Linked DNA regions of Mus musculus: regions 1, 3 and 4 are each reported to be linked to region 2. Evidence: microRNA targets listed by miRTarBase, many of them from high-throughput screens and not tested one by one. Region 2 holds a microRNA gene; each other region holds the end of a gene's coding sequence.
The links. The annotated mature microRNA mmu-miR-7b-5p reads UGGAAGACUUGUGAUUUUGUUGUU and lies in region 2 at 1,050-1,073, shown strand. An mRNA with a match to its seed (bases 2 to 7 or 8) in the 3' UTR can be bound and repressed. Matches are read on the target gene's strand: a 7mer-m8 pairs with bases 2 to 8, a 7mer-A1 pairs with bases 2 to 7 and ends in A, and an 8mer does both.

Region 1: miRTarBase lists Mtfmt as a target of mmu-miR-7b-5p. Seed matches in the 3' UTR shown: 7mer-A1 at 893-899.
Region 3: miRTarBase lists Ncoa5 as a target of mmu-miR-7b-5p. The part of its 3' UTR that is shown has no 7-base or 8-base seed match.
Region 4: the mRNA of Rbbp6 is a reported target of mmu-miR-7b-5p. The part of its 3' UTR that is shown has no 7-base or 8-base seed match.

What each region holds. Positions count from the first base shown.
Region 1 is chr9:65,452,024-65,455,108 of GRCm38, forward strand. It overlaps Mtfmt (mitochondrial methionyl-tRNA formyltransferase), which reads left to right. Exons shown (of 9, transcript NM_027134.3): 9 at 1-1,031. The coding sequence ends at 182. It also overlaps a transcript of Spg21 not described here. Among named protein-coding and RNA genes, the nearest start is that of Spg21, 7.4 kb to the right of the region's middle.
Region 2 is chr17:56,241,968-56,245,052 of GRCm38, forward strand. It overlaps Mir7b (microRNA 7b), which reads left to right and starts at 1,021; the gene lies at 1,021-1,131. A230051N06Rik (RIKEN cDNA A230051N06 gene) reads left to right here. Exons shown (of 2, transcript NR_155493.1): 2 at 189-838.
Region 3 is chr2:164,998,912-165,001,996 of GRCm38, forward strand. It overlaps Ncoa5 (nuclear receptor coactivator 5), which reads right to left. Exons shown (of 8, transcript NM_144892.1): 8 at 1,446-3,085. The coding sequence ends at 2,671. It overlaps Slc12a5 (solute carrier family 12, member 5), which reads left to right. Exons shown (of 26, transcript NM_020333.2): 26 at 1-820. Among named protein-coding and RNA genes, the nearest start is that of Slc12a5, 32 kb to the left of the region's middle.
Region 4 is chr7:123,001,533-123,004,617 of GRCm38, reverse strand. Rbbp6 (retinoblastoma binding protein 6, ubiquitin ligase) reads right to left here. Exons shown (of 18, transcript NM_011247.2): 18 at 2,046-3,085. The coding sequence ends at 2,474. Among named protein-coding and RNA genes, the nearest start is that of Rbbp6, 33 kb to the right of the region's middle.

The DNA.
Region 1 (3,085 bases), not on the chromosome of region 2:
GGTCAGTAATGCTTAAGAAAACACTAACAGCTACTGATTTCTACAATGGATATTTGCATGCGTGGTACCAGAAAAATTCCCACGCTCACCCAAGCCAGTGCAGATTTCAGACTCTCAGACTTCCAACAAAGATGCAGCAGAAAACAAAGTTGTTGCTATGCAACAGTGCATTAAGTAGCTAGAAAGACAACGGACAAGGACCTATTACACACTTGTAATTTATTAAAAGCTTGATTTACAAGCAAGAAGATGACAGCGTGGGAGAAAGAGAAGTGGTTGTCAGGAGGCGGAAGTCTTTCGCTCTCCATTGTGTGTAGCAGTCAAGGGCGGACTTTTCTACTTGAATCACACAAGAAGTTTAAATAAAATTTGTATTTATAATGTTCAGCTTAAAGGAGCTTGTATCCTTTGAAGAGTAAGACAACTAAATGGTGTGCATATATTCTAAAAGGTTGTTTTAAATGGTGCATCTATGGACTTCGGGCCTAGCTCAGTAGGTAGAGTGCCTGCTTAGCCATGGTGAAGTTCTGAGTTCGATCCCCAGCACCTCATAATCCAGATAGTGGTGCACACCTGTAGTCCCAGCACTCAGCAGAAGCAGGAACGTCAGAAGTTGAAGGGCATCCTCAGCTGTCCGCGAGTTCTGTAGGACATTCCAATTTGGATTTTTATTATTGCTGGAAAAAAGTTTGCTTTACCCCAGACTTGAAACTGGACTCCGGCTTGGGGTGGGGCTCAGTTGGTAGAATACTTGCCTAGTGTGTACACAGTGCTGTAGTCCCAGTACTTGGAAGATGAAGGCGGGAGGATCAGTTCAAGGCATCACTACCAAGCATGTTTAAGGCCTGCCCAGGGCTGGAGAGAGGGCTCAGCGGTTAAGAACACTGACTGCTCTTCCAGAGGTCCTGAGTTCAATTCCCAGCAACCACATGGTGGCTCACAACCATCTGGAATGAGATCTGATGCCTTCTTCTGGTGTGTCTGAAGACAGCTACAGTGTACTCACATATAATAATAAATCTTTAAAAAACAAAAAAAGGCCTGCCCAGGGTATATGAAACCTTGTTTAAGAACAAAAGCAAATGAAAAATGAACTCTGTTGCTAGCTTCTAGTTAAGTGACTTGAGACAACCTACTTAAATCTTTAAAACTCTGGTTTCTTAGTTTAATTATACGGGTAATAACTGCCTTGCAGAATGCTATATTACACAGGAAATGCCCAACATGGACACTTAATAATTGGTAGTGTTTGCTGTCACTTCTCAAGTTTACTAAACCACAGAGTGGCCGTATCTTAGTCAAGTACTCTGGTTATGTCTGAAGGTATCTCTGGATGAGATTAACAACGTTTAGTGGTCAACCCAGTAAAGCTGATTGCTTTTCTAATGTGAGTTAAAAACAAAAGGCGAGGCTGATAGCTTGGGGGTACAGTGCCTGCAAAAAAGCATAAGAACGTGAGTTTGGATCCCTGCTTCCACATAGAAAACAGACATGGCGACTTCTGGAACCCCAGTACTGGGGCAGCAGAGACTGATGGATCCCAGTGACCCACTGGCCAGCCAGTGTAGTTCAGTGGGCTCCAGGTTCATCAAGAGACCCTGCCTGAGAAAGAGAGGAAGGCAGGAGATGAAGAGAAAGCAAAGAAGGAACAGTAGATGTCAGACTTTGTTAGTCGCTTCTGCTCTAATGAGACCTAACCCTGTTGACTTTGAACTGGAGTCAGAAACTAGTGACTGTGCAGTTGGCTGGCAGACTGCAGATCTGGAGACTCGATGGCCTTCATGGCTGTGTGGCCCACATTATAAATCTGCCATTTCTCTGCCTTTACCTCACCTCCGTGCTGCTGTGTTCCGCCTTTGGGCCTTCTACAATCATTTTTCTCCTGGGGGGCAGCCACGCTGTGGAGTACACGGTTACACCAACATGAGGAAAAAGGTTTTAGAGTGAGACAAGATCTCAGAATTTCATCTCAGAGATGGGGAAATGAAGGCTGGGCAGTGGTAGCACACACCTTTGATCCCAGCACACAGACGGAGAGGCAGGTGGACCTTTGAGTTCGAGGCCAGCCTGGTCTACAAAGTGAGTTCCAGGACAGCCAGGGCTACACAGAGAAACCCTGTCTCGAAAAACAAAACAAAAAGCATACGTGAAGGAACAAGTTCAGGCATTGCTGCATTGCTACATTGCGAAGAATCCGAACCTCAGGATTTATCAGATTTCTGTGTGTGTGGAGAGGGGCAGTCAGTTTTCTCTTTCTACCTTGTAAGTCACGGTCGTCAGTGTCTATCCACCGAGCTATCTTGCCAGCCCAATTTTTTTTTTAAATAACTTTTTATTTGGTTTGGGAGACAGTATTTCTAATACCACCTAGCCTCCCTGAAACCGAAAGCTCTGAGTTCACTGAGAGAACCTTTCTCAAATGAATAAAGCGGAAGGGGACAGGGGAAGGTATCTGTGGACAAAACACCACAACCAAAAGCAATTTGGGAAGAAAGGGTTCAGTTTCACTTGCTCTTCCATATCACGCTTCACCATCAGAGACATTCACGTCAGGGACCTGGAGGCAGAGCTGACGCAGAGGTCATGGAGGTGGGCTCCTTACTGGTTTGCCCCTCATGACTTGCTCTGCCTGCTTTTTTTTATACAACCCAAGGACAACCGTTTACAGAGGTACTGCCCACAATCGCCTGGGCCGCCCTCCATCAATCACTAAGAAAATGCCCTACAGGCTTGCCTACAAACCTGATCTTAGGGACTGACTTCTCAGCAGAAATTCCTTCCACTCCTGTGACTCTATTCCAGTTTATATAAAGCTAACACAGTACCTGACATCTTCATATCTTCATTTGGTCTCTCCTCTCTCTCTCTCTCTCTCTCTCTCTCTCTCTCTCTCTCTCTCTCTCTCACACACACACACACACACACACACACCAGAACAAAACCAAGGTGAATAGCTCCTGAGGTTTGACCTTTGATCCACATGCATGCATGTATGCACACACAAACATGAACACATACCTACATGTATGCACCACGAAAAACAAAGAATAATAGCCCTTGAAGGGGGCGGCAGCATGTAACTCCA
Region 2 (3,085 bases):
GAGAGCCTTGCGCCTTCGTCCCCGCCTAGAACACCCCGGGTCCATGGGAAGAGATTAAAACAGAAGATGGGTCCCTAGGACGAAGAACAGAAACAAGGAGCGGGGCATTTTGGCAGAAGGCAGAAGCTGGGAGAGTGTCCTCGAGCCGCACTGACCACCCCCTCCCCCAATAACTAATTATGTTTCAGCACTGGAGACGCGGACAGCGCCATCCGGCTGAGGGACTCGGAGCAGAGTTCGGCTTCAGCACCAGGATTTCGGACAGCTCCCAGCGGGTCACGAAGAGACTAGGCTTCAGCACCCGGCCCCTGGCAGTGCCAAGCTCTCAACACCCAGCTTCAGGGATCGCCTTGGGGTCTGTTCTGGCGGAGAGTGTACAGGGAAGGAACCTCTTAATGGTTCTTGGCATTTGTCCTTTACGGAGGGATTTTTTTTTTCTTTTTTGAAACAGGGTTTTTTTGTGTGTACCTCTAGCTGTTCTGAAACTCACTATGTAGACTAGGCTGGCTTCAAACTCACAGAGTACAGGCGAAGCATTTGGTCAACGAGATGTTATGAGTGCCTCTGGGTGTACTAATTTCCAAAGTGAAGTGGTGAGGGGAAAGCCAGCCTCAATCCAACTTTAAATCTCAAGTTCTTTTTATTTTTAAAAAGAGTTTTTCTCTCAATTATATATATAATTATTATTATTTTAAAACACTGTAGACCAAGCTTTGAACTCCTTGTGTAGCCAAAGATGATCTTGAAGTTCTCATCCTCCTGCCTCTACTCCCTGCGTGCTGGGGTGACAAGTGTGTGCTCCTCGTGCCTGGAACAATAAATCCCACGTTGGTGATGTGCCAGGGTGTGAGTTGGGGGGCAGGTAGAGAATGAATCTTGCCTGTGTCTCAGGGGATGGAATGGAAAAGGGATGTCTAGGGAGGGTAAGTCAGTGAGTGGGGTTTGTTATGCTCAATCCTCTATGGAGAGAGAGAGAGAAGCACTTGAGGGTGTTGAACCTGGCGGAGGAGGATGAGGACGAGGAGCGGAGTACGTGAGCCAGTGCTATGTGGAAGACTTGTGATTTTGTTGTTCTGATATGATATGACAACAAGTCACAGCCAGCCTCATAGCGTGGACTCCTATCACCTTTCTCCTGAAATACACAAACAGGTAGGGGCAGGAAACTGGGACAGGAGGGGGTTAAGGGAAGTCTAGCACGGACAGGAGAGGGTGTCTAGCAAGGTCTCGGGCCCTGGGAGAGTGCAGGAGTGTTTCCCATGCTATTGGCCTGTCACTCAAACACATCTACATGATAGGATCAGAGACACAACCTCAGGGCCCTGGGTCACAGCACCGTGCTTTCTCTGGAGACTCAAATAGGGAATGGTGAGCCAGTGGAGTAACTCAGAGGGAAAGAGTGCTTTGAAATTAGGGAACCCAAGCTTGAGCCCCAGGATCAACTGGGTAGAAGGATAAAACCAACTCCTGCAAGTTGTCCTCTGACCATACATGTCCTGTGACACACATGCTTCCACACACAAATAAATAAACACACATAAAAATTTTTCTTTTTTTTTTTTTTAAGAGAGGGTTTCTGGGGCTGGTGAGATGGCTCAGTGGGTAAGAGCACCCGACTGCTCTTCCGAAGGTCCAGAGTTCAAATCCCAGCAACCACATGGTGGCTCACAACCATCTGTAATGAGATCTGACTCCCTCTTCTGGTGTCTGAAGACAGCTACAGTGTACTTACATATAATAAATAAATAAATCTTTAAAAAAAAAAAAAAGAATTACATTTAAAAAAAAAAAAAAAAGAGAGGGTTTCTGTATATAAACCTGGCTGTCTTAGAACTTACTCTGTAGACCAGGTTACCCTCAAATTCAGAGATCCACCTGCCTCTGCCTCCTGAGTGTTTGAATTAAAAGCATGTGCATACATAAAACTTTTTTTTTTTTTGGTTTTTTGAGACAGGGTTTCTCTGTATAGACCTGGCTGTTGCTCTGTAGACCAGGCTGGCCTCGAACTCAGAAATCTCCCTGCCTCTGTCTCCCAAGTGCTGGGATTAAAGGCATGCGCCACCACTGCCCGGCCATAAAACTTTTAAAAGAGGGATTGGCATCAAAGGTACTTCTAGAAAACCCTGAAATTCTTTTCTCTTTCTTGTTTTCTTTTCCTCACTCTTTTCACTTTGCCTGCTTTGAGACAGTGTCACCTGTAGTCCAGGCTTTTCTCTAACTCTGAATGTAGCCCAGGATGGCTTTGAACACTGAGTTCTCTTGCCTCCAGTCCCTGAGAACCATGCCTAGCATACACGGTGTTGGATTCAGAATTTCAAATGCTTTGACTGGGTACGGTACCCATGGAGCCCCAGCCCAATTTTCAATAAAACTCTGTGCCCGCCACACAAAGCAACCACTAGTTGCATGACTGATACCAAGAAAATGTGGACTTGTTGTCTGGTGGGTCATGGCATTCTTAACATTCAACACCTATCATCTGTGACATTCTAATGCAGTCACTAACCATCCCCCACTGTGCAATTCTCCCCAGCTGTCCTAGTGTGCATCCTGGTGCTGTGACAGGACCTTGACTCAAGAAAAGGGCAGGAAAGAGTTTATTCAGCTTACAATGATGGCCACACTCCATCACTGAGGGAAGTCAGGGCTGGAACCGGGAGGCAGGAGCTGATGCAGAGGCCATAGAGGGGTGTTGCTTACTGGTTGCTTACTTGCTTCCCCTGGCTTGCTCAGTCTTCTTTCTTATAGAATCTGGGACCACCAGTCCAAGGATGGCACCACCCACAATGGCCTTAAATCATTAATCATGAAAATACCTGATAAAGGCCTTTTCTCAATTGAGGTTCCTGCTTCCCTTAAGCTCCACCCGTGTAAAGCTGACATCAAACTCAGTCACACAGCAGCCCAGGGGCTGCTTTGTCCATGCAGTTTCCTCTCTTGGGTCTGCACAGTCCACTCACATAACCTCCCATAACCAACTCTGCCTTCTCCAGGCTTCAGCTCGGTGGGAGAAACTTCCTGTTACCTCACTGGTCAATTAGGACAAGACTTTGTTAACATTCTCAGCCTCCTGCAACGGCCACAC
Region 3 (3,085 bases), not on the chromosome of region 2:
GAACTGCAGCTGGTGCCATCAAACGGCTCAGGTGTGGCCAGTGGCAGGGCTGGAGGGCCACTGCCCTGTTGCTTGGCTCAAGCCCCTCTCAAGGCTTGATGAGGACTGGGCATTCTTCCAGGCAGTAGCCATCAAGTTGGAAGTGTAGGACCTAGGGCCCACCATCCTTCAAGTCTGCCCTCCCTTGCAGTGGTTTTGCCTTTTGGGGAAAGAGAGGGGCTGGGTAGCTGGGGAGGAGGCAGCATCGACACCAATTAGGGAACCAAAGTTGCATGACCTGGGCCCAGACTCTGGTTGGCAAGAGCAAAGTTTCCGTTGATGAAAACAGCCCACAACAAAACCCCCAGTTTTCTGTGCTCCATGTGCAATATTTGTTATGAACCTTGTGTCGTTCAAGTCACCTCTATAATCACTGTAGCTAGATGTTCCATGTCCATCCAGGTGACTTCTACTCTGAGTGCAATATTTCAGTAGCCTGGTAGTGAGAAGAGTGTCGCTTCTGTTTCAGCAGACCTATGTGCAGGGCAATGCAATGCAGTCCAAAACCCTTGTAAATAGGAGAGGTTGCAAGCCAAATCAAGAGTATTTATTGTTATTACTATTATTATTAGGCCTGCCTTTAATTTTAGTGTTTCGGTATTTCGCATCCCGACTCGGTATTGATCTTGTGTTCTTTGTGCCAATACGCAAAGGAGAGGGTCAGTTCTCTCCTTTACTGTTGAATGCTCCCACTTAATGCTTTAAGGCTTTTACTGTGTTAATTTTTTAGATACCTGTCTGCACACAATGCAATAAAAATAATTTTATTACACCCTTGATAGCCTGAAGGGTACGGTTTAGATGCTTCAGGAGGAAGTCAACTTCACTGTCGGCCTATGAAGCTTTGGCTTTTTGAGACAGGGTTTCATGAAGCCCGGGCTGGGCTGGAACTTGGCCAGTTAGATGTTAGGTGGGAAACTCTCCTCTGCTTACAGAAGTGAGCACACCAGCTTTGGGGCCCTGTGCCTGAGGTAGGAGGTGCTTCCTAGGTGTCAAGTCACATGGTACCCTCTGGGAGGCAGCAACTCTCTTCTTGAGAGGAGGGTCAGGACAGTCATGCCAAGTAGATTAAAGGCTCTTCAAGGCCTCCATGTTCTGACTATAGATTATGCCAAACTCCTGCACAATGGGCAGCAACAGGCATGAAGGCAAAAGAGGAATGACAGCCATGGCCCAGAGAGGCTCTTCCTCACAGTGGCTTCCTTCCCCGTAACCTATCTTGGACACCTGCAATACACCGACTCTAGCAGCAGGCACAGAGCGTGAGTCTGCTGTAGGCATTCCTATCAACACTTCTCACTGGCGGGCAGCACAGCGAGTTTAGGCTGGGCACAGAGACTCTGCTCTTGGGGAAAGTGCTCAGCAGAGGTGCTGCTGCAGACACACCCAAGAAAGATTAGCACAGGTCTGACTTTTTCATTTTAATTAAAAAGTAATTATTTCATTTTATCAACAACACAAGAGTTCCAAAGGGGGAGGGGGACCCACCGTATAACACAAACAGATCAGAACATAAACTGCTGCCATTTGGGGACTTAGCTTTTGAAACTGGTTTGCTCAGCCTCTGGCAGGGACTGGACTGGAGTTAGCACTCTTGCCGCCCAGCCAGGCCTGACCCTCCCCTGACCTGATCCTCACTTCATTTAATGAGCAGCCTTTCCCAAAGGAAAAGGCGCTTCTTCCTCTGGCTCCATTCAGGGCAGCAGCCAGAGCCCTTCTCTAAACATCACCCTGTCTCAGAAGTTACACGAATGCTCTTCTGTATGAGAACATACCCAACTACCACAGTCTACCATCAAGTGGTCCCCGTCTCCTGCTCATCAGAAAACAGAACAAGAGTCTGAATGAAAACAAAAGCCTGGGGCTCAAAAGAAATCACGGACCACCAAGGTGTCCAGCTCCAGAGCCTGGAGCTGCCCCCAGTGCTGACTGCATGAGGTGCAGCCGGAGAGAAAGGTGCAGCTAACGCTGTGGAGAGCAGTGGGCCCCAGAGTCACAGTTCATGTCAAAGTGCCAAGAGAGCTGCTCACTTGTCTGCAGACCCTCCAGGAAAATAAAAAATACGAAACCAAACCAACTTCAAGGGACCACTCTGATGCAGTCACAAGAGTCCTCTCTTCTCTGGCTGCCACATGGCACTTCACAGTCCAGAGAAATCACTCTTGAGTCCTTGGAGTTCTATTCTCTGATGGAACAATGATGACACTGTCTGCCAAGACCACCTGGCTTCACTGGGAGCCAGGCAGGACGCAGCTCTGGCTGCTGTGGAGGTGAAAACTAAGGCTATGACCACTGCCTCCAGAAATGGTGTTCCCATAGGGCAGCTGCGCTTGGCTTCTTCCTGTTCCTCCAAATCTGCCAGGCAGGTGCCAGAGCGATCCCAGACAGAAGCTGAGCCCAGATCCCAGAACACTTATCTTCTACCCAAACAAAAGATCCAGCCCCGAATGCAGTCTAAGTTCTGATTCTGATAAGTGATAAGCAACAGCCGCAGGAAGGAGTGGTGAGAGAAACTTAGGATATTTGATGTTGACCTGGAAAGTGTTTCGAACACTTCCAAACAACTCTACTTAGGATGAAGTAGGAGGGGCCAGGGAAGGGTGGGGCTAGGAACAGTAGACCAGTAGAGCCTCAGTAATGCCTCTGGTAAGATCCCATGGGGGCCTGGGGCCGCCCCACCTGTGCTGCAGTTTGGCTAACCAGGTGGGAAAGGGCAGGGCCACTCTGAATCAGGGTGTCCAGAGCCTTTTGTACACTTGGATTGTCAAAGTTAATACCTGTGGAAGATACAGGCCTCTGGCTAGCCATGGTGCTGGCGGGTGCCAGGCGACTGGAAGGCTGACCAAAGAGCCCTTGGGAAGGAGCCCCAGGCCTAGGGCCCATGTTCCGAGCAGACCCTGCCTGTCCCACAATGTTTGGAGGCTGATTTCCTGAGGCCTGCGGTCTTTGCTGAGGCTGGCTGTTTGCTGCTGTGGAAAAATTCTGGTTCTGGGAGCTTCCGGTAGCCACTGAGGGGGATGCAGAGCTGCTGTTGGCCGCAACCGCG
Region 4 (3,085 bases), not on the chromosome of region 2:
GGTCGGTCTGGGTTATGTGGTAAGACTGGAAAAAACAAAACTCCCAAAGGGCAGGAGAGATGGCTTAATGGCTCAACAGTTAGAGTATACTGTATACTGAATTTGGTTCCCAACACTCCTTTGGGGCAAGATAACAAAACCACCTGTTAAGTCCAGTCCCAGGGGATCTGACACCTTCTTCTGGCCTGCACATGGGCACTACACTCATATGCATAACTCCACAAACATAAATGACCATTATTTTTAAAAAGGAAAGGTAAATTTATAATGGTCAGATGCAATATGGCCTTCTTGGGGACCAGTAAACAGGGTGGAGACTTCCTGTTGTCTGATTCCTCTACATAAGGTGCAAGTTGGGACCAATCAGATATTAGCATTAACAACTGAGGTTGGGGAGAGAAAAACAACAACAAAAAAACCCAAACCACATGTACCATGAAGGGCTGTGGGTGTTTTTAATGGTTATACAAATACTAACTAAAACAAAACAAAAAACTTTTATTTAGCATTTCAAGTTGTCCTCCAAATGCTACATTCATACATTAAAAAAATCTGTATCATGTATGTTTATGGGAGTGGTTACACATGTACCACAGCACCTGTGTCCTTAAAGGGCAACCCTGGGGTTGGCCATCCCCCCTTCCCTGTGTGTCTCATTTGTGGCCCCTCACTGTAGAACACTGGAGTTACAGCACACATGTAGCATATCTAGACTTACTTGGGTTCTAGGGATTGAACTCAAGTCCTCAGGCTTGTGGAGGCACTTAACTCACTGAGCATGTCTTGAGCCTTTGCATGCTTCTGTTAAACAGTATCCGACATCTAGGTAGTTTGGGGGTTAGATGGGGAAGGGGGCAGGCACAGGTTCTGTGGCCGTTGCCATAACAAATCTATAGACTACAAAAACAAACAAAACCAAAAAAACCAAAAAGTAAACTAAGTTCAACCACCACCAAAGCTGGGAAAACTGCTCTTAATTGCAAAGGCACAACACTTAGAGGTGGTTCAGTAGCCAGGAACCTGTCATAGGAGTGGAGCTGCAACTAAAGTGAAGAAGGCCAGGTGAGCTTCAAGAATGAGCCCAATAATGTGAGTAACCAGTTTCAATTGTTGGAAACAGGACCTCAAAGTAAAAGTGGGAGTATGTTGTGCGTGGGCCTAAGTGGTCAGGACAGCTTAGCCCTGACAGCAGGTGTGTGTGCTTGGCATCAGGGCAGAGCTGAGCTCTCACAGCAAAGCTGATCTGGCTCCAAGGCAGCATCTCTCGATGACTTCCACACCTCTAGCACTTATGTTACTTTGGCTCAGTGGTGACAAGTGCTTGTTGCTCTTGCATAGGACCTGAATTTGGTTCCCAACGTCCACATGAGACAGTTCACAACTACGTAGCTGTGAGTGACTGCAGCTGGTTACAGAGGGCTCCAATGCCTTCCTCTCCCTCCATGGACACACACACTTTAAAATAGAAAAAAAAAGTGTTATCACTTACAATTTTAAATGGTAAATGTTGCCCTAAACACTACATTCACATGTCTTGACTCAAAGCCAAGAACCAGCAATTGTATGGAGTACCACACACTGAGACTCCAAGCACAGAACCTTAGGACAGCAGGCTAGCAATTTAGCCATGGACTGTGACAGGCCCAATTCATGCCACATTCTGTAAAACCACTTAACCTGTCCCCAAATCCTTTCCGAGTGCCTTCACTGAGTTCCAGACAGACAGAGTGAAGGAATACCCTCTACCCTCAGGCTCACACTATTACTTACTTTTGTCAGTGGGGCAGAGAATGGGCACAACCACAACACTTAAGTGGATTGTTTCATCAAGGAATTTAATATTGACCTAACAGAATTCTAAGAAAACCACATGGCTAGATGGTTAAGCATCCTGCCCTCCTTTTTAGAAACCTAACTTCTAATTACTAGAAACAAAGATCTTCCACTAGGCCTCTCTGAAGTACATTTTCAATGTTTAGAATTTTGTCTATTCAGCTTGAAGGATCTTGGAAAGAGAAGAAATGAGACACTGTCTTTAAATAATATACATTTGCAACAAGTGAAAAGTTTACTGAAAACTTTTATTGTAATCAAAAAGTGACATAACGGGGCTGTAATGAGTTCAGCAATCATTCTGCTGATATTTTTGAACTGATATCAGCATTTGCCAGGCAATTAAAAAAATTCAAATGTGAAAATTTCACAGTACAGTAAACTCCACCCCAACTAATTAATGGTGGTTAAAAATAATAGGCCCTAGCAAAACCTCTCATGTTCCATGGTCACAACTCACAATTCTGTACAAAAGTTCGTTATAAAGCTCTGATGTAAAAATGAAATAATCAAGCAGCAAATACTTTTAAGTGCAGCACAGGGTCTTCCATTCATTATTTACAAGGCTGGAATCTCTTTACATTATAACAGAATTTAATACAGATGACTTAGTAATTAAGTCAATTAACACATCCGTCCTTCACACAGTGACAGATCTCACTTTTTGGTCATCTTTCTCCTTCTCCTTGTCTTTGTTCTTCTTGGCCTTCTTCTTCTTGTGTTTGTGTTTCTGGCTCTTCTCCACGTCGCCGTCGGCGCCTGCGTGCTTCTTGTGCTTCTTGTGCTTTTTATGCTTCTTGTGCTTTTTCTTCTCCTTCTTCTTCTTCTTCTTTTTGCTGTCCTGGCTTCCGGCTGAGCTGGCACTGCTGCTGTGGCTTCGGGTCTGGCTCCCGGAAGGGCTATGACTTCTACTTGGACTAACACTGGGGCTACTTTGGCTCTGGCTCCTGTCTGCACCTGGCTGGCTGGCCGTTGCTACAGTCAAGCTCTCTTTCGCTTTCTCTGTTGTTTTCTCTTTCAAGTCCTTGGAGATACTGGCAACAGCTTCTTCTTCCTTCACAGACACATTACTCTCACTGTCGCTCTCATTATAATCTGGTTCAAAGGCAGCCTCGTCCGTCTCCCGGGTCAGGTCAGAGGAAAGCCTCGAGGAATGGCTCAGCTGGGGTTTCGGCTTGACGGCGCTCTTCTCCACCTGCCCAGCAGCCAGCTCCTTCTCCATGGGAGGGTCTGGCGGGTTAGGTATACATGG